Linked DNA regions of Pelodiscus sinensis. The protein of the gene in region 1 interacts with the protein of each later gene in a biochemical or structural test. Links are inferred from orthologs where the notes say so. Each region holds a gene or a part of one and is shown on either strand. Other genes may lie near its edges.

What was found.
Region 2: the proteins of PLXND1 (region 1) and SEMA4A form a complex in vitro, tested with the Homo sapiens proteins (2 studies listed by IntAct, with this or other methods). The link is inferred for Pelodiscus sinensis from reciprocal best matches to the Homo sapiens genes PLXND1 and SEMA4A.

Annotation. Positions count from the first base shown.
Region 1 is NC_134721.1:20,127,680-20,136,640, reverse strand, and holds the start of PLXND1 (plexin-D1), read left to right. Parts: upstream 1-4,538; 5' UTR 4,539-4,707; coding exon 4,708-6,009; intron 6,010-8,961. UniProt on the Homo sapiens protein: Cell surface receptor for SEMA4A and for class 3 semaphorins, such as SEMA3A, SEMA3C and SEMA3E. Plays an important role in cell-cell signaling, and in regulating the migration of a wide spectrum of cell types.
Region 2 is NC_134734.1:16,427,445-16,436,828, reverse strand, and holds the start of SEMA4A (semaphorin-4A), read left to right. Parts: upstream 1-5,704; 5' UTR 5,705-6,068; intron 6,069-9,384. UniProt on the Homo sapiens protein: Cell surface receptor for PLXNB1, PLXNB2, PLXNB3 and PLXND1 that plays an important role in cell-cell signaling. Regulates glutamatergic and GABAergic synapse development.

The DNA.
Region 1 (8,961 bases):
GTGGGTTATTTATTTGGGTCTGCTGAGTCAAACCAGTTCATTTCCAACATGGAATTGTGAGCTGTCCCCCTAAAGTCAAGCTGTGCTCTGGTAGCTTGCTGCTAAAACCAGGAAAATAAATAGATGTTTGTACTCAGCATAGTAAAAGGGCTAGACACAGAGCCTGCTGTTTGACAATGTTGAGTCAATATAACCTGAGTAAGTGCATGAGTAACTCATGTTCTCTCTATAGAACATCTGTGCTTGGGTAAATATATTTATTAATGATTAAAATGGTTTTGAGTTGTTACACACACACACACACACCTTTCCTGCCCCCACACACACTTCCCCCTCCCCCTGTCTAAAAAGATGTTATCTTTTAACCTGCATAAGTGTCAAACAGAAACAGATTCTGGCCGGGGGTAATTGTCCAAATTCAGAGGCATAGACAGGTTTTTTTTGTTGGTTGTTTTCGGACCTTCATTCCTTTCTGAACAAAGAAAAATACTACGAGCTGCATAGTGGAGATTAAAACTCCTCTATTAATAGCATTATCTGAACATATTCTTTAGGGATTCCAATTGCACTAGTAATAATGGGAATGAGCATTTCTGGAAAAAATCATCCTCAAAGCATCTCGTCAGAGGATTGTTTCCTGACAACAACAAAAATGAAATATTTACCTGATAATCTTGCAATACTACCAATATTTTGGCTTAAACTATATCAGTGTAGGAAAGTAGTCATTACAGTAAACTGGAAGTCAGGATGCTTGGCTTTTAACCCTGACAAGGCCAGTAACTATATGCTTTTGGGCAACTCACTTATTCACCTGGGGCTAAATTTTCAGATATTACTTGTTATTTTGGTTGCCTAAAATTTTGGGTGTCTAATATGAGGTCCTTTAAAAGGGTCATCTCATTTGGAAGGAGACCAGATATCGTGGTAATGAGTGGTGGTAGGAAACCCTAAAAAAGACAGATTATGGGATGGGGCTCCCCAAAAGAGAAGCATTTACATAACTCGTCAATTTTTTGGAAAATGAAGACCTCCATGCTTCAGCTTTTCCTTCTGTAAAATATGGATAATGATACTTACCTGCCTCACACTTAGGGCTTAATTAGCCAGCATTTATAAAGCCCTTGACATCCTAGAATGGAAGGTGCTAAATATAATGTAGTGTTATATTTTAGAGCATGAGTTTAGTTCTGGGGAGTTAATGATACTCTAGTATTTAAAATTTGAAAATAAAAAACCCCAAACAATCTTTTTAAAAAGAACCAATATCTGTAATGGATAGTTATGATTAGCAAGGACAATGAGTTAATGAGAAAGCACTATTTAATTCTATGCACATCTTCAGTGAACATCGCATGGTTATTGCAGTTATGTATTAATTAGTGCTCTGAAATGGGTGAAAGGGACATGAAAGGGGTGAAGGAAGCTAGCAGGTGTAGAAATGAGATTAGACAACAGAGGACATTTCTATCCAGAATACGAGTAATCCAAAATCCCCATCAGTCTCAATTATATGTTTTGTATAAGTGAAAATAACTGAAGTAACATGAGAACAGCCCAGGCACAGGGATGGCTCCCGATATTGAAAGAGAGGCACAGAATCTATTAGTATGAGCCTGCCAGGAGTCTAGTGACCAAACATCAGACCTAACTACCTGCCCCTGATCTATGCATGGTTAGGCCTCTCAATGCACAACTCACACCCTTCCCTAGTGGAAGAAGGCACCAAGATAATACATATAAGTATTATTTTATTTACCATTTGGTTTATTTAAGGTGTGCTAGAGCTTAAGCTGTACCAGAGCTGTGTCATATCAACACTACCATATGGCTCAGAGTGCTGGCAGATGACAGAGTGCAACCGTGCCAAACTCTCATCCTTTCACACCACCAGCCTTCGTAAGATACATTGTTTTCGGCCAAAAAATGCAATCTCCAACCACGACCTGCTCCTGCGATGCCACCAGGAGTTCATGACAACTATCATTATGAGAAAATGCTGGAGATGGATAGGGCACGTGATGAGAAGGGAGGCAGATGCCATTGTAAAGATAGCACTTCACTGGACGCCTGAAAGACGACGGAAACATGGGAGCCCCAAGACAACATGGCGGCGTACTGTTGAGTCAGACATGAAGAGAATGAATTACAACTGGGACACACTGGAGAAAATGGCCAAAGACAAACAAAAAATGGAGAACCTTCGTTGCTGCCCTACACACCAGCGGGCGTAATAGGCATTAACTAACAGATTATGTTTCCAAGATTTTTTTCAGAACCACAAGTGATAGAAACTTTCCTAGAGAAACAAAGATTCTTACACTTCCAAAGAACTGTGGGGACCAAGGCCTTAAGATGTACAGCAATTATTGTGACAATATACAACTACAAGAATGAAGGACACTTCAGTCCTCCTCTGATCTCAGAGATGACGCTCGATAAGTCTGTGGCTCCACACTGGGGAGTGAGCAGACAAGAAGTGGGGCTTGGAGCTACCTCATTTCCTTCCAGCTTAAGTTGAAAGAGTGATAAGACAACCCAGTCCCAGGACAATCTTACCCTTCTTCCTCTGATGGAACAATTAGGAAGAAATCTTGCTGAGATTTTCTCCACATTAGTGTTATCCTGCTGATTTTCCTGAGGGAGAAAACAATCAGCCCATTGTTAGCAACTAGTGATTATATTAAATGAGTTTGGTATGGGTTTCAGTTTATTTTCAGAGGATGGGTGCTCACATCACACACACAAAACTTCTCCAAATTGGGAAAATCTGTAGAAAGGTCAATGAAAGTGAAAGAGAGACTGAATGCCAGGGCATACATTCAGCCAATATTGGCATACAAATACCTCTTAATTCTGATCTGTTTTCATTCAAAAAAATAAATCAGTTTCTAGCTAGTAGGAGTGCACAGTAAACGTTATCAACATGCACTCGGTAACTGAGGCAGAGATCTCTATGTCAATCTGCAGAAAGCCTGCAGATTAGAACATTAGTTCTAAAACCCTGAATTTTAGTGAGGGGTAAACTCAGAGGTCTAGTGATGATAATTTGTGTCAAAATTGTTAACTATTTCATTCTACATGTAAGAGGTTGTCTATCTTGTAAAAAATTTCCATATATAGTGGTATAAGTATATAGTTAAATCAGTATAACTGTCTTGATTTAAACTCCATGTAAACATTTAGTCCAGTATCAGAGTTGCTTTTTTGCAGTGGAGGGGTTCTTTTAAACCTATCCTAAAGCAATAAAGGTACTTGTACACTGGAATGGGGGTCCATGTAGGCATTACGCTAGTTTCACTATATTAGTTTAACTTCACACCTTAACTAATATTGGTATAACTTTTCTGTGTAGAAAAGCCATCTGAAAGAAGAGAGAGGACCTCTGACCTGCACAACTGAGTGTTATCTCCATAGGGTACCTAATGCAAATAAACCAAGCACAAGATGCCCAATGGAGCTCAAAGAATATGCACAATTATAATTTGAACACCTGCACAATCTACTGTGAGCAGCAACTCACAGGTGCAGAGTTTATTTTGTGGGTGCAGATGGAAGAGGTATACTACCCCAACCCGATCCCTACTAAGCTCTCATTCCTAAGTCTTCTTGGATAGGATTCAGGAACATTATCAGAGCAGTGTCAGGGAATTCTGCTGCCTGTGCTATACCTGCCCTGGGAATGAGTAGAAGATTTCAAGCTTGGGGGATGTCAGCTTTTCTTGAGCACATTAAATAAAGAGCAGCTCAGTGCAAACACATCTCCATTGCAACAGAGGGAATTAAAACAACAAGCAGTGCATGGCGCCAGTGACTGAAATACAGTGGGATTGGTAGAGATCCCCCCACCCTTACATACTTGAAATATTTGTCCACTTAATTTATCCCTGACCCCCAACTCCAGACAGTCTGACCTCTCTTCTTTGTTATCCTTTCTTGTACAACTTCTTTATGGGGAGTGCAATACTTCAAGAGCACTGAGAGTTAACCTATTTTGACTGTGGGAAGTGGGGGGGGGGAGAGGGAAGACTGGATAGGAGTGGGTCGGCAAAAATGAATGTTGTTTGGTTATTTTTACTTATGGTTGCAATCTTGCTTTATGTCCGGACGAGAAAAAGTTCTTATCTCCCTTTCAGTCCCATATTCTGATTAGAAACACGACCCCCCCCCCCACACACAAACACAAGAGTTATTTGTTAGAAGAGCTGCTATCAAGGAACAAGGGCTGTCTCTTTGTGTGGTTGGCTGGTGCGACGTTTGCCTTCCAGCTTTTGGAAAATATCTTTAACTTAATCATATTCACATGACAAACCCTAAATTAAAAAAAAACACACATCATGAGTAATGCAGAAAGGAGAGAAGCGAAAGAGAGGAGAAGTCTGAGAGCGGCGGATCGCTTCACAGGCAGAGCGGAGCTGTCAGAGAGAGAGAGAGAGAGGGGGGAGGGTGCTGCTTTTTGCAAAGACGAGATCGGGAGTTTAACCCCATCCGATCTCCGCGCTGGCGAGAAGAGAGAGAGAGAGAGGAAGGTCCAGTAACCAGGCAAAGGCTGCGATTGCAACAAAAGCTCCGGACTTCCCTCCTGGCGTCACTCAGTGCTGAGGCGTGTTGGCTTCGCAGGAAGCAGGTTTTCCTCCCCTGGCTTTGCAAAGCCCCCTTTCCCGTGGAGCCTCATGCACTCTGCAGAGCAGCAGCCCAGGCGGCAGGATGACTCCCGGGGAGAGAGGCGCTAAGGTGCTAACCCCCCTCCTGCTGCTGCTGGCCCTCCTCGCCAGCCCCAACGCCGGCCTGGAGGTGCAGCACAAGTTCCTCTCGCCCACGTTGACCAACAACTTCGCTCTGGACGGGCCGGGCAGCAAGATCTACCTGGCGGCTGTCAACCGGCTCTACCAGCTCTCCGGCCCCAACCTGACGCTGGAGGTGGAGGAGCAGGTGGGCCCGGTGCCGGATAACCCCCTGTGCCACGCACCCCAGCTGCCGCAGGCCTCCTGCGAGCACCCCAGGCGGCTGACCAACAACTACAACAAGATCCTGCAGCCGGACCCGGAGCAGGGCATCGTGGTGGTGTGCGGCTCCATCTACCAGGGCTTCTGCCAGCTGCGCAGCATGGCCAACATCTCCGCCGTGGCCGTGAGCTTCCCGCCGGGCAGCGCCAGCGGCGGCGGGGAGCCGGTGACCGTCTTCCCCAGCATGCTCAACGTGGCGGCCAACCACCCCAACGCCTCCACCGTGGGGCTGGTGCTGCGGCCGGCGGCGGGGAGGCGGGACACGCGGCTGCTGGTGGGGGCGACCTACACGGGCTTCGGCAGCCCCTTCTTCCCGCGCAACCAGAGCCTGGAGGACCATCGCTTCGAGAACACGCCCGAGATCGCCATCCGCGCCCTCAACGCCCGCGGCGACCTGGCCAAGCTCTTCACCTTCGACCTCAACCCCTCAGACGACAACATCTTCAAGATCAAGCAGGGCCACAAGGCCCGCCACAAGCTGAGCTTCGTGCGCGCCTTCCTGCACCCCGCCCCGCCGCTGAGGGGCGCCGCCTACGCCTACCTGGCCCTCAACAGCGAGGCCAACGCCGGCGACAAGGAGAGCCACTCGCACAGCCTGCTGGCCCGCATCTGCCTGGCCGAGCCGGGCCGCAACGCCAGCGCCGGCGAAGCCAAGAAGCTGACCGAGTCCTACATCCAGCTGGGGCTGCAGTGCGGGCCCGGCGGCGGCAGCGGCTTCACCCGCCTGCTCTCCGTCTTCCCCGCCGCCGCCGCCCTGCAGCTGGCGCCCGCCGGCGGGGAAGGGGCCCGGCCGCAGGAGCTGCTCTTCGGGGTCTTCGAGGGCGCCGCCCCGCCCGGGGCCCGCCACAACTCGGCGCTCTGCGCCTTCCGCTTCGCCGACATCGAGCGGCGCATCCGGCAGGCCCGGCACTCGTGCTTCGTGGAGCCCGACTCCGGGCGGGTGGACGTGCTGGACAGCGTGGTGCAGGGCACCGGGCCGGCCTGCGAGAAGAGGAACATCCAGGTAGGCGGCGGGGGGCTGGGATCGGGCCCCCCCCTGGGCAGCCTTGTGGTGGGAGGGAGGCAGCTCTGGAGACGCGCCTGTCGTTAGTGGGGACCCCGCTGCCCCGCTCAGGGGAGCTTCAGCATCCTCGCTGATATTGGATCTCAGGAGTGGGGATTCCTCCTCTGGGATGGGGAGCGAGACTCCTGGGATGTTGCAGTTGCCCACCCTCGTGGGGACCCAGGTAACAGCGGAGTCCAGGAGAGCAGAGTCCCAACATTAGGAGAACCACTGAGAAAGTTCGGAAGGTGCCCCAGATAAGGCCGCAGCTTAGTTTTCTAGGATGGTGGGACACCTCTTCTGTAGAGGGTGAGAAACTGGAAGGTTCCCTTTCAAGGGCCGTGGCGCAGGGAGCAGATATGTCCCTGTGGAAGATCAGAGTGCAGAGTTGGGGAATCCCTACTGGGGAGAGCCCCTAATTCTGATAAAAGTGCAGCTCAAGAGAGCAGATTTTGAGGCAGAAGGGGTGTGGTTCAAGGCACTATAACCCCCTGTCGGTGGAAAAAAGTTAGGTAATCCATGTGATACTACACTACAGTGAGATGATTTTATCCTAGGGAAACCACCTGCTGGCAGAAACCCAGCTGTTTAGTAGATGAGAGACTGTAAAAGGCAACCTAGAGCTCTGCAGGACAGGGCTCAGCACACCCCAAACAGACAGTGTGGTGAGCCCCTGCTGATATCCAGCAGTGCATAGACTGGAATGCTTGGCTGAGACTGGATTCTCCATGGTCCCAATCTTGAAGTTATTACTCAGGCAAAACACTTTTAAAATCATTGTAAGGACTTTAGAATTGGGTCTCATGTTTGGATTAATAACCGTGAACCTTCTTGACTAGCTGAGTAAGTGATAACAATCCATCAGGTTGAAGTCTGGTGGGATTTGAGAATCATGGAAGTGAGAGGCGGAAAAGATTTATTAGTTTGTCCATTGGAATTGTTCTCTTCAGTCCATTCTCCGGTGCTTTGTCTAATCCAGTGTAAACATCGAAAGTGATACAGCTTTCACATATCTGTGTATCTGACATAAGCATTGTCGTATAAATGCAAATTAGAGATGGGATTCAGTCAGAAGCCTGCATGTGAGAACCACTGGACTTTGGGTTGGTGGTGCTTGGAATCAGAACCAAAAGCCTGACCGGAATGTTATAACTAGTCTCAGGCCCATACGCATTTCTGTGGGGGTATGTGCTTTTTTTGTAAATGTGGACCACAAGGGTGTAAATGCACCCCAATGGTCCCCCACATAAGCTGGGAAATCAGCCCCAGCCTTCCCTCAGCTGGTCAAAGCATGGCTGTGGGAGGCTCAGACAGCTCACTGCTCCTGCGGAGTATACTTACTTAGGGGACCATGGGGGGTGCTTTCGCACCCTTTGCACTCGCCCTGTGTACAGGCCTGAGTCTCTGTGGGTGTGAACTTGCACACTGTACCCCATTAAAATCTGTTGCAAATCTCCATAGACTTCAGTGATGCATATCAGGCTCTAATGGTCTATCCCAGACCTTAGCACCTGAATCCCTGTCAGACTTTGGATTTGGGTGATGGTTGAGAAAGAGTATGTCAGCAGCCAAACCCAGACCTCTCTCAGAGGTTTACAGTAGTATGAAGCCAAACTTCTGCCCTGGATTGAAGTGGGTGTTAGAATTTGTATGTGGATTCTGCATTCCCAGGACTGTCTCTGTTCAAATCCATCTCATAGCCTCCTCTGATCCATCACTATGAGTGATTCTGGTTTATGTACACAATTTAGAAAATTGAGGAAGACATGCTGAGTACAATAAGCTCCTTTTTGGCAATGATTTACATTAATTCAGTATCCATGTGTAAATTTAGGTTCATTGTGACAATCAATTGGATTCCTACGTGGCTTACTATGAAGTCAAACATGCAGTGGTTTTTGCATACATACAACCACCCCCTCTTTTATCAAGGACCATCTTTATTCCCACGTTCCCTGTCCCCAGTGAACTAGTGGTGACTCACAGACTTTATTTTTCTCTTTCTTTTCATTTGTTGCTCTCTGTACAGACATGGAGGAAAGGCAGCTCTAAGAATGTGTGTTCAGTTGTAGCTGTTCTCTTCCCACGTCCCTCTGTATATTTCTGCAGCAGGACAGTGCAGGATGTGTACAGTACATAGAGAGGGAACACAGGCTGAATTGTTTCATTGCATTTGGTGTGCAAGTTTACCATTGTCACAAATTGTTACTAAGTGGACATGAATGTTAATAGAAGCAAGGTGGGAGGGCAATATCTTTTATTGAACTAAGAGACAAACAAGAGTGCAAGAGACAAGCTTTTGAGCTTTACAAAACTCAGGTTGGAAATTATCACTCGTGCCCACTTTATTTTAAGTGGTTTCTGGCAACATATGTTTACTGGATGTTTAACAATTTGTCCCATCTTGTAGTTAGCTGGTTACATTTTCCAGATCTGAATATGAGCTCTCTGAAGTTTGAAAACATTTCACTCCCATCAACAAAATTTGGTCCATTAAAATATATTACCTCATCTGCCGTGTATCCACGTATCCTGGGATCAACATGGCTACAAAGACACTGAAATATAAATTTTTATGCCGGATAAAGATGCCTATTTTCCCCTTTAGCAAAAGTCACAAATTATTAAACAACAGAGCTGCTTTAGCACTGTGTCTTTTTTTTCTTCTGCTGGGAAAAGGGCAAAACTTGGCTCCATCAAAGATTATAAAAACATCTGTTTGATTTCACAGGCAAGACAGAGCACTTGGGTTTGGCTTCTGTGCTTCACAGTGCAATGATAGAAAGGTTTCCTATGGTAACCAGTCTGTTTGGCAACGGCAGCCCCATACTAAGTTACAATAGGTAGCCTTAATGCCGTAGTTCATAGACTGGCTTAGGGACATTGAATTGTTTTCCTTTGGTGGCAAAGTAC
Region 2 (9,384 bases), on another chromosome or scaffold:
TGTGGTCACCAACCCATGAATTGCAATCGACTGGTCAATCGGGGGGGATCAACCAGTCGATCAAGAGGCGTTCAGCCCCCCCCCCTTTCTTCCCATTCCCAAGAAGCCCCACTACCTACCTCCAGCAACAATGGAGGTAGTGCTGGCTTCCTGTGGGGTGGAAGGAAGTCTGGCAGCTGTGCGCCACTTCCGGGGTTTCAGGAAGTACGCTGGCTGCTCCTCCTCCCGCGAACAGCCAGCATGGTACCACGACCCAGGTCTCTGGCATGCCGGGGAATTGCTGGGGGCGGGTAGGAGTCCCCGAAGCTGGCATGCACTGGGGCTTCCCTCCTCTGCAGAGCGGGGGAGTTCCCGGAGGAGGCGCGCACTGGAGTTTCCCTCCTCAGCGGGGTGGGGAGGAGTCCCAGGAAGAGCCACGTGCCAGGACTTCCCTACTCTGCGAGGGGGGGGGAGTCCTTGGAGGAGGTGCGCACTGGAGATTCCCTCCTCTGCGGCATGCACCGGGATTTCCCTCCTCTGCAAGAGGGGGAGTCCCTGGAGGAGGCATGCGCAAGGGCTTCTCACCTATGGGGGAGGGAGGGAGTCCTTGGAGGAGGCATGCACCAGAGCTTCCCTCCTCTGCAGGTGGGGGAGGGGATAGGAGTCCCCAGAGGAGGTGTACATTGGAGCTTCCCTATGCAAGGGGGTAGGACTCCCGGGGGGGAGGCACATGCGGGGGACTCCCTATCCCCTGTCCCTACCAACACTCTGCTCCCATCAGCATCCTGTCCCCTGCCCCCACTAGAGCCCTGTCCCCACCCCAACACCCTGTCCCCTGCCCCAGCACCCACTAGCACCCTTCCCCAGTACCATGTCCCCTGCTCCCACCAGCAAGGTTGGGGCCACATTAGTGAGGCTTGGGATGGGGGGCTGGCGGAGTTATTTTTTTGCATCTCACTTGTGTGGCCCCAACTGACTTTTCTATGGGTCAGTGACCCCTGACTCAAAACAGGTTCCCTGCCCTTCTCAGAAATAAAGACAACGCTGAAACTTTTTGTGTTTGATATAATATTTTGTTTAAAAATGAAGCCTGGCCAACCAACCCCCCATCTGGCCGCAGCATCATAACACTCCTGCACCCCACCCCCAGGCCCTAGATCTATGCTGGAACACCCTGTCCTGAGCCTCTCACACCCCAAAATTCCTGTACCCCACATCCTCTGTCTTCTGCCACAACACTCCTGCACCATCCACACACCTGAAATCTGTGTCCTGAGCCCATCGTACTCCCAACCTCCCTGCCCTGAGCTCCTCATATCCCCCAACCCAAACTCCTGCACCCTCACATCCACAAGCCTGTGGCTTGCTCAGTACCCCAACCCTCCACCTGACCCCAACACTCCCCAGCCTGGAGCCCCCTCCCTGAGCCAGCATCCCCTTCTCCACCTTCTCCTGCATCCAAATTCCCTCCCAGAGCTTGCACCTCTCACCCCTTCAAAAACAACGAGCAGTCCTATGGCTCCTTAGAAACTAACACCAGACAGATCAAGACAGCCCAGCATGGTCCATCCTATCCATTTGCCCTGTCATGCTCCATGGCTTTTGTTTTCCTATGTGGTACTGTCTGAGGAAGCTCACTGCATATCCATCCTCCATCCTTACTGGAAGCCGGGGGAAGGGGGCATTGGCAGCTCAGAGTAAAATTGGCCTGGAGTTATCCAGTCAATTCTGTGTTGGCAAAGTATTGCCAACACTCAAATACAGCCACCCCAATCTCCGTATCTATGGATCTTATTGTCCTAGGGACACTACCACTGGCCAAGATTTGTACCCACTACCCCACCCATCCTCTGCCCCACCTCCTCCCTTTAGCGTCACCCACCTTGGTCCATTGTGTTGGGTGCTGGTCTCTGGTCTACAGCCCATCCTGGCTTTGTCACTGTTAAAGTTTGGTGGCTGGGGGTGGATTTAGCAAGGCCTTGTACTGTTAAGTGGAAACACAACTGTGTTTGCGTTTCAAAATCAATACAACAGCGAACCTACCCAGCCTGCATCCTCTTGTTATGTCAACCACTTTTTATAACGCATGGAGCACCTCTTACAACCATGCATAAAGTGGGCAGTGGCACATAATCACTTAAGCACCCCATCTTTGCTTTCTTTTCAATGGCTATCGGGCAGTGTTTCTTTCTTCTTTTTTTTTTCTCAACAGCTTTCCGCTGGACCTTTTTTTTTTTTCCTCAACAAAAAATCCTTAGTGTTCCTAATTAAAAAAAAATATTATGTGGTGTTCCTTGGTCTTAAAAAATTTAAGAAACATTGCTATAGTGTGTGTCTACGGTGCAACATTTTTCTGGAAAAATGGCTGTTGTTCCAGAAAAACAATATCTGTGTCCACACTGCCATTGAGTCCTTTTGACAGACAGCCCAAAGAACGGAGGGGGTTTTCTGACGATGGTAAACCTCTTTCTATGAGGAAGAAGTCTTTTTCTAAAAAACCTTTTTTAGAAAAAGACGGTTCGGGATGAAGAAGAGGGAGTTCTTTTGAAAGAAGAGGTCTCCAGGGAATAACACAGGTGCCCTGGTGGCCACTCCATCCATACTAATCACAACTTAAATGCGAGATTGCGTCCAATCAATATGGATGCTATCTTTTGAAAAAGCAGATCGCTTTTGCTGTGTAGACACTCTCTTTCAAAATAAGCGTTTCCGGAAGCTCTCTTCCAGAAAAGCTTCTTCTGAAAGAATCTTGCAGTCTACCAACTTCTGCACCCCCGTAGTGGCACGAACAGACTCCACCAGCCAGTAGAATTGAGGGAGTTTATTGCTTCTCCAGGGTACAGCACAGCACAGATGTAATCTAGTCACAGTAACCAGGGCTAGGAGGCCTCAGCCCCCCTTGAGATGGGGAGACCGGGCCCCTACAAATCTAGCCCCCTCCCTAGACATAGCCATAAACAGCCCAGTTGCCCACAGATGTAAGTTACTACCAGCAATCACATTTATTCCTAAGGTGAAAGCGTCACAGAAAAAACAAGATTAAAAACGTACTTAGGTGCATATGAACTTACCCAACTCCAACAGGGGCTCCGGCAGGAAAACAATCCTTTAGACCTCACCCAGGGGTTTCCCTGGTTCATAACCTCTTTTGTTCAGAACAAGCACAGCCCTGAATGCCCTGGGGAATCGCTGCTTTGTATGGCCGGGGCCTTTGACCTTGACAAATGAATGTACTTCAGGATGTAGCGTTGGATAACTGGCACCGGAGAGAGGAGTAAATACATTTGAATCTACCTCCTGCTCTTACTCTATTTAAATATAGTTCAGCAGGGTTTGTCCCCGAAATTGCCATTTCTGTGGCATGATCTTTTCTGTGGATTGCAAAACTGCATGGGTTTCAATTAGGGATGTAGAAAGTTCTTTCTAAAAAGCCTAGTGGTTAAACCCTAGCGGTTAAATTCTAACGCTGAAATACGTTTCATATGGCAGAGCCTTCCTGGAAGCCTCCCCTGGAGCAGGGCTGGCATTTCTCAGACACTTAGGTTAGGGTTAAGAAGAAATAGCCTCTGTGGGCAGATTATCCTATAGTTGTCCACTAGGGGGCGATCTTGAACCTTCCACTGATACAATGAATAGAAGTTAAGGCTCATAGAATCATAGAATACTAGGACTGGAAGGGACCTCGATAGGTCATCGAGTCCAGTCCCCTGCCCTCATGGCAGGACCAAGTACTGTCTAGACCATCCCTGATAGACAATTATCTAACCTACTCTTAAATATCTCCAGAGATGGAGATTCCACAACCTCCCTGGGCAATTTATTCCAGTGTTTGACCACCCTGACAGTTAGGAACTTTTTCCTAATGTCCAACCTAAACCTCCCTTGCTGCAGTTTAAGCCCATTGCTTCTTGTTCTATCCTCAGAGGCCAAGATGAACAAGTTTTTTCCTTCCTCCTTATGACACCCTTTTAGATACCTGAAAACGGCTATCATGTCCCCTCTCAATCTTCTCTTTTCTAAACTAAACAAACCCAATTCTTGCAGCCTTCTTTCATAGGTCATTTTCTCTAGACCTTTAATCATTCTTGTTGCTCTTCTCTGGACCCTCTCCAATTTCTCCACATCCTTCTTGAAATGCGATGCCCAGAACTGGACACAATACTCCAACTGAGGCCTAACCAGCACAGAGTAGAGCAGAAGAATGACTTCTCGTGTCTTGCTCACAACACACCTGTTAATGCATCCCAGGATCATGTTTGCTTTTTTTTGCAACAGCATCATATAGAAGGGACCTCAAGAGATTGTGTCCTAGGAAGGAGTCCTACGTTTCTGTTCAATTTCCAGCCAGGGAAACATCCCTTGACTTTTGATTTGAGTAAAGGACTTGGCTAATTTTTATTTGTACTGATTCTTTCATCTCTGCCTCGGTGCCACGAGTTTAAACTGCGCAGCAAGCAGAAGGGGCGAATTCCTAGCAGATACATTTTCTAAAATGATTTTACAGCTATTTGAACAAACTCCCAAGATTACCAACCCATTGCACGTTCCATGCAGAAATGGGCGAGCCCCCGGCCTGTTTGGTTTGGTAGCCATTTAAAAAAGAATCAGATGAGGCAAGAGTTTAGAGGGGGCCCAAAATGAGCAAGTGAACTGAAACGTGGGCAAACCAACTGTATCGGGGGAGAGGCTGAAATGTTTAGTTTCAACCCAATTGAAACGTTTGGTTTGGATTTTCATGCTTTTGGGCACATGGTTAATGAACCGGCAGGACACCTGGAGGCAGAAAGGAGTTTCAAACCAGCAACAAAAATAAACATTCTGTTCTATTGCACGACTGCAGCATGAAACGAGCAGCCTTGGTTAAACAGATTCCTACCCTGGTGGAAACTTGGCGGCAGGCGCGTAGGCAGCGATGCTGCTAGTATGGGCTTGCTTTGCTTTTCCAATGTATCCTAAGGGACCCTCCACGTAGTATTCCTGCTCTGGCTTGTTTTGCAAAAGCTGCAGTGGGTCCCTGCAATACGTCGGCTGCTTGTAGGGTTCCCAAGAGAAGTAAGTCTCCTGCGGGGGAGTTCATGGGCTTTTTTGGAAACACAGCGAGAAACCGAAATGCTATAGCCAGAGGTCCAGGCTCAGAGAAGTCGGGAGCTGTGCAAAAAGTGAAGGCTTAGGCCCTGGCACGGAAGGGATACATTGTCAGAGATGCTGTATAAAGGTCAGAGGTCTAGCATGACTTATGGATCCACGACAGCCTCTACACAAGGATCCCACCATCTCTATGCCACGGGGCTCTGCAATGACATGTGGGATCAAGCTGGGAGAATGGGGTCTCTCAACTTCAGGGAGCTGCCGGTTCTGTCTCTCTCTGGTTACGGTGTATTATCGCAGTGGCTCCTAACCCTAAAGCAGCCTCCCATTGCAGCCGTCCAGCAAGAGCATTTGATATTTATATCTATCGGTGCTGCATGCGGGCCGTGACCATAACGGGAGTAAGTAGCAAGCGAGACTCACGTTGCCCCAGTGCATGGGAGGGTGGAGGGTGCTGGATGACCGCGCGCCAGGTCCACGCATAGGGTAGGAGGTGGGGGGAGTTGTATGCTGCAGGACCAAAGAGGCGAGGTGTGGCCGTCATGTCTAGAGGTCTTGTTCCAGGCCCCCGTCTGAGACTCCGTCACTCTGGGCTGGGACTGTGAAGCGTGGGCCTGGATTGCCTGGGGCAGCAATCACTCACAGCAGCACGTCTAAGCCCTCCAGTGTTTCTCAAGCTGGGAAGTTGCGAAAGTGCTCGGTCCTTTGAGCTGCACAAGAGTTGAAGTACCAGGCGGTGCTCTGCTGGCAGCCGCCCACCCGCTCAAGCAGCAGCACTAATTCTCCAGCGCTAGTGCGGCCGGGGAGACCACGGGGAGAGCTGGGCAAAAAAGCAGCCGGGAAACGCTCTAGTAATCTGCTCAGCCAGCCACAGCGCCGGGGAGTTGCTGCACAGACGGTGCTGGGGCAGCTCTCCTGGACAGAGAGAAGCGAAGCAACTGGCGGAGCGACCATGCAGACAGGGGGCCAGCGGAGGAGACTGGGGCCTGCACCGCAGCAGCGTAAGTTACAAACAACGCTCTGTCTGGGCAGCTTTCCAACGCTGGAGGCCGGGAAGGGAAAGGGTGGGGAGCATAGCCATTGGTGGTCACGCTCCGGGATTTTTTGTGGTCGGATTTACAGCTGTTGCAAGAATGTTTAAGGAGGGAGTAGGAAGAAGGGACTTATGAGGCAGCTCTCCAGATGCTCCAGGGCACAAAGGAAAAGATCAGATGCCAGGCTGCCTTGGCTCCAGACCAACCCAGGTGCGCCACAGGCATGGATGCTCCAGCCCACCCAGCCAGGGTGGGGTGGGGTGCGCTCCGGCCTGGCCATAGCGACCTCCCCGCCCCTTTTAAAGGGCTATCCATTGAAACATTATATTTAACCATTTAAATGGGACTTTAAATCCTTAATGTGGGTGGAGTCAGTGTCATTCTCCCTGTTTTGCAAATGGGGAAACCGAGGCACGGAGCCAGGTGGTGACCTGCCCGCAGTGGCTGAGGGAGAAAGGAATCTTTCCCTTGCTTTGTCAAAAGTCTGTGAGATCATCAGAGGGAAGATGGAGGCTTGGAGTAAGGCAGCATCGTATGATGCAGGAGCCCTCGTCCCTGCTCCGACTCCTTGTGTGCTTGGACAGGACACCGCTACAGGTCTAGTTTCTTCTCAGTGCAGAGGGGGTGGAAATACTGACTCAGCACTGAAGACTCTGCCTGCAGGGAGGTGAAATCCACCAACGCCTGAGGGGAGCTAAGACCTGGTCTACGCCACAGGGGGAAGATTAAGTGAAGAGACGCAACTTCAGCTACATTAATTATATAGCTGGAGTCGATGTATCTTAAAACGAGTTTCTGCGCTGTCCACACAGTGGGAGGCTGACAGGAGCAAATGTTCCCATCGGCTTCCCTTACTCCTCACAAGGAGCAGGAGTACCATCACGGACAGGGGCACCCTCTGAGTTTGACTTAGCAGGTCTTCACCAGACCCACTAAATCGAGCCCCATCGATCTTCCATGTAGTGAAGACGCGGCCTGAGACATAGCGAATGGAGGCCCTGGAGGTATGTTGAGGACATAATATCATCGTTCTCCAGGCAGCAGAATAGAAAGCCCTGCTCCGTCTGTGGCTGGAACCCCAAAACGGCTCCTTTAATACCCACGGCAGCCTGGGAAGAGCTTCATTTCAGTGAGACCTGCCGGCACATTGGGTTGCTCAGGAGCTATGAGAATCCCGGTCAGAGAAGGGGACCCAACTCGGGTGCAATCCTGGGCTGTGTCTAGACTACATGCCTCTGTCGGCAGAGGCATGTAGATTAGACAGATGGGCAGAGGGAAATGAAGCTGCGATTTAAATAATCGCGGCTTCATTTAAATTTAAATGGCTGCCCCGCTCTGCCGATCAGCTGTTTGTCGGCAGAGCGGGGCAGTCTAGACGTTCCCCTGTCTACAGAAAACCCTTTTGTCGTCCGCCCCGTTATGCCTCGTGGGATGAGGTTTACCGGGGCAGTCGACAAAAGGGTTTTCTGTCGACAGGGGAACGTCTAGACTGCCCCGCTCTGCCGACAAACAGCTGATCGGCAGAGCGGGGCAGCCATTTAAATTTAAATGAAGCCGTGATTATTTAAATCGCGGCTTCATTTCCCTCTGCCCATCTGTCTAATCTACATGCCTCTGCCGACAGAGGCATGTAGTCTAGACACAGCCCTAGTTCCATTAAAATCAATGGGAGTTTTGGCTTCAGTGGAGTTGGGATTTCACTCCCAGACTTTAAAAAGACTTAGGACAGCCGCGCTTCCTCGCTGGATCCGCTGCAGGCTCCCTATGTGACCCTGATTTCTATGGGGGCCCAGTGCCTGAATACTTTTTGAGGCTCTGGGCCTGTATCTAGCTTGTCCTTTGGTTCTGCAGCTATAAACCAGGGTATGTCTATACCTGCACCCTCTTCCGATAGAGGGATGCAAATGAAGACATACAAAATTGCAAATGAAGCCAGGATCTAACTATTCCATGCTTCATTTGCATAATCATGTGATGGGGCTATTTCGAAATACAAAACACGGTGTAGATGCGGTTATTTTGGGAGAACGCCCTTCTTCCAAAATAACTGTTAAACCTCATTTTATGAGGAATAAGGGTTATTTCGGAAGAAGGGTGTCTGCCCAAAATAACCACATCTACACTGCGTTTTGTATTTCAAAATAGCGCTATTTTGAAATAGCGCCATAACGCGATTATGCAAATGAAGCGCAGGATATTTAAATCCCGGCTTCATTTGCAATTTCGAATGTCTTCATTTGCATCCCTCTATCGAAAGAGGGTGCAAGTGGAGACATACCCCCAGGGTTTCCATGGTGACTCCATGGCTAGGGGAGGAAAGCCCCCCCCAAGCCCTACCCACCAAAGCCCAATCTTCCCCTCACACACTGCGGCCTGCTGGCCGCCGCCCCGCCTCTTCTGCCCCACCCCCACCCCACAATGTGGCTGCTGGCCCTTGCCCCTTTCCTGCCCTGGGGTAGCACGCCCCAACCTCTCCTGGTCCCAGAGCTCCGGCGGGCGGTGCGGCTCCAGCCTGGAGCTCCAGCGAGCTGGCCATCAGGCATGGCACAGGCTAGGCATGGGCAGGGCCAGGTAAGGCAGTGCCTTCCCCTGCCTAGGATACCCGCCGCCCAGGAGGGGGCCTGTTTCCGCTGTGAGGTGTAACGGGCTTTGGTGCAGCGGATACCAGCGGAAGCGTGCAGTGGAGTGGAGTTCCCCGGGTGGAAAAAGCTGTACCCGCGAAGGGTCTTGGTTGTACTGCCCTCCGGCTGTCGTTGGCATGGCTGGGTCGGCAGGCGCGTGATTTGTGTCTCAGGAGCAATGCTGCCAAAATGTTGACTCCGAGAGCAGGCCCGAGGCAGTGAAGCGCTGAATTCTGGGAGCCGGCCAAGTCATGCCCTTCGTCTCCTGGGCACCTCAGCCCCCACAGCAAACCAAGCCTGTTGCCTCCGACACGCTCCCGTTCCCACGGGCCCGATTCTGGGAGCTAAATCCCGCTTTGGGCGCCAAAGGAATGAGCCCAAAACCATCTAGCCTGGTCCCGCTCGGGCTCTTTGCCCAGGAGTGGCCTGAGCTGGCGTGGGCTGCAGGGCAGGCTTGGACTGGGCTGCGCTCGGATGGCTTGGTGCCGGGACTTGGGGAGACCTGGTGCTCTGAAGCTGGGAAGGCGCAGCCAACCTTGGGCTAGGATTGGAGGCACTGCAGCCTAGGTGCCCTCTCCGTGCTCCAGGGCAGGGGTGAGAGGGCCAGAAGCAGGCGGGCAGGGAGGAGGCTCAGGTCTCTAGCAGGGAGTGACTGGAGCGAG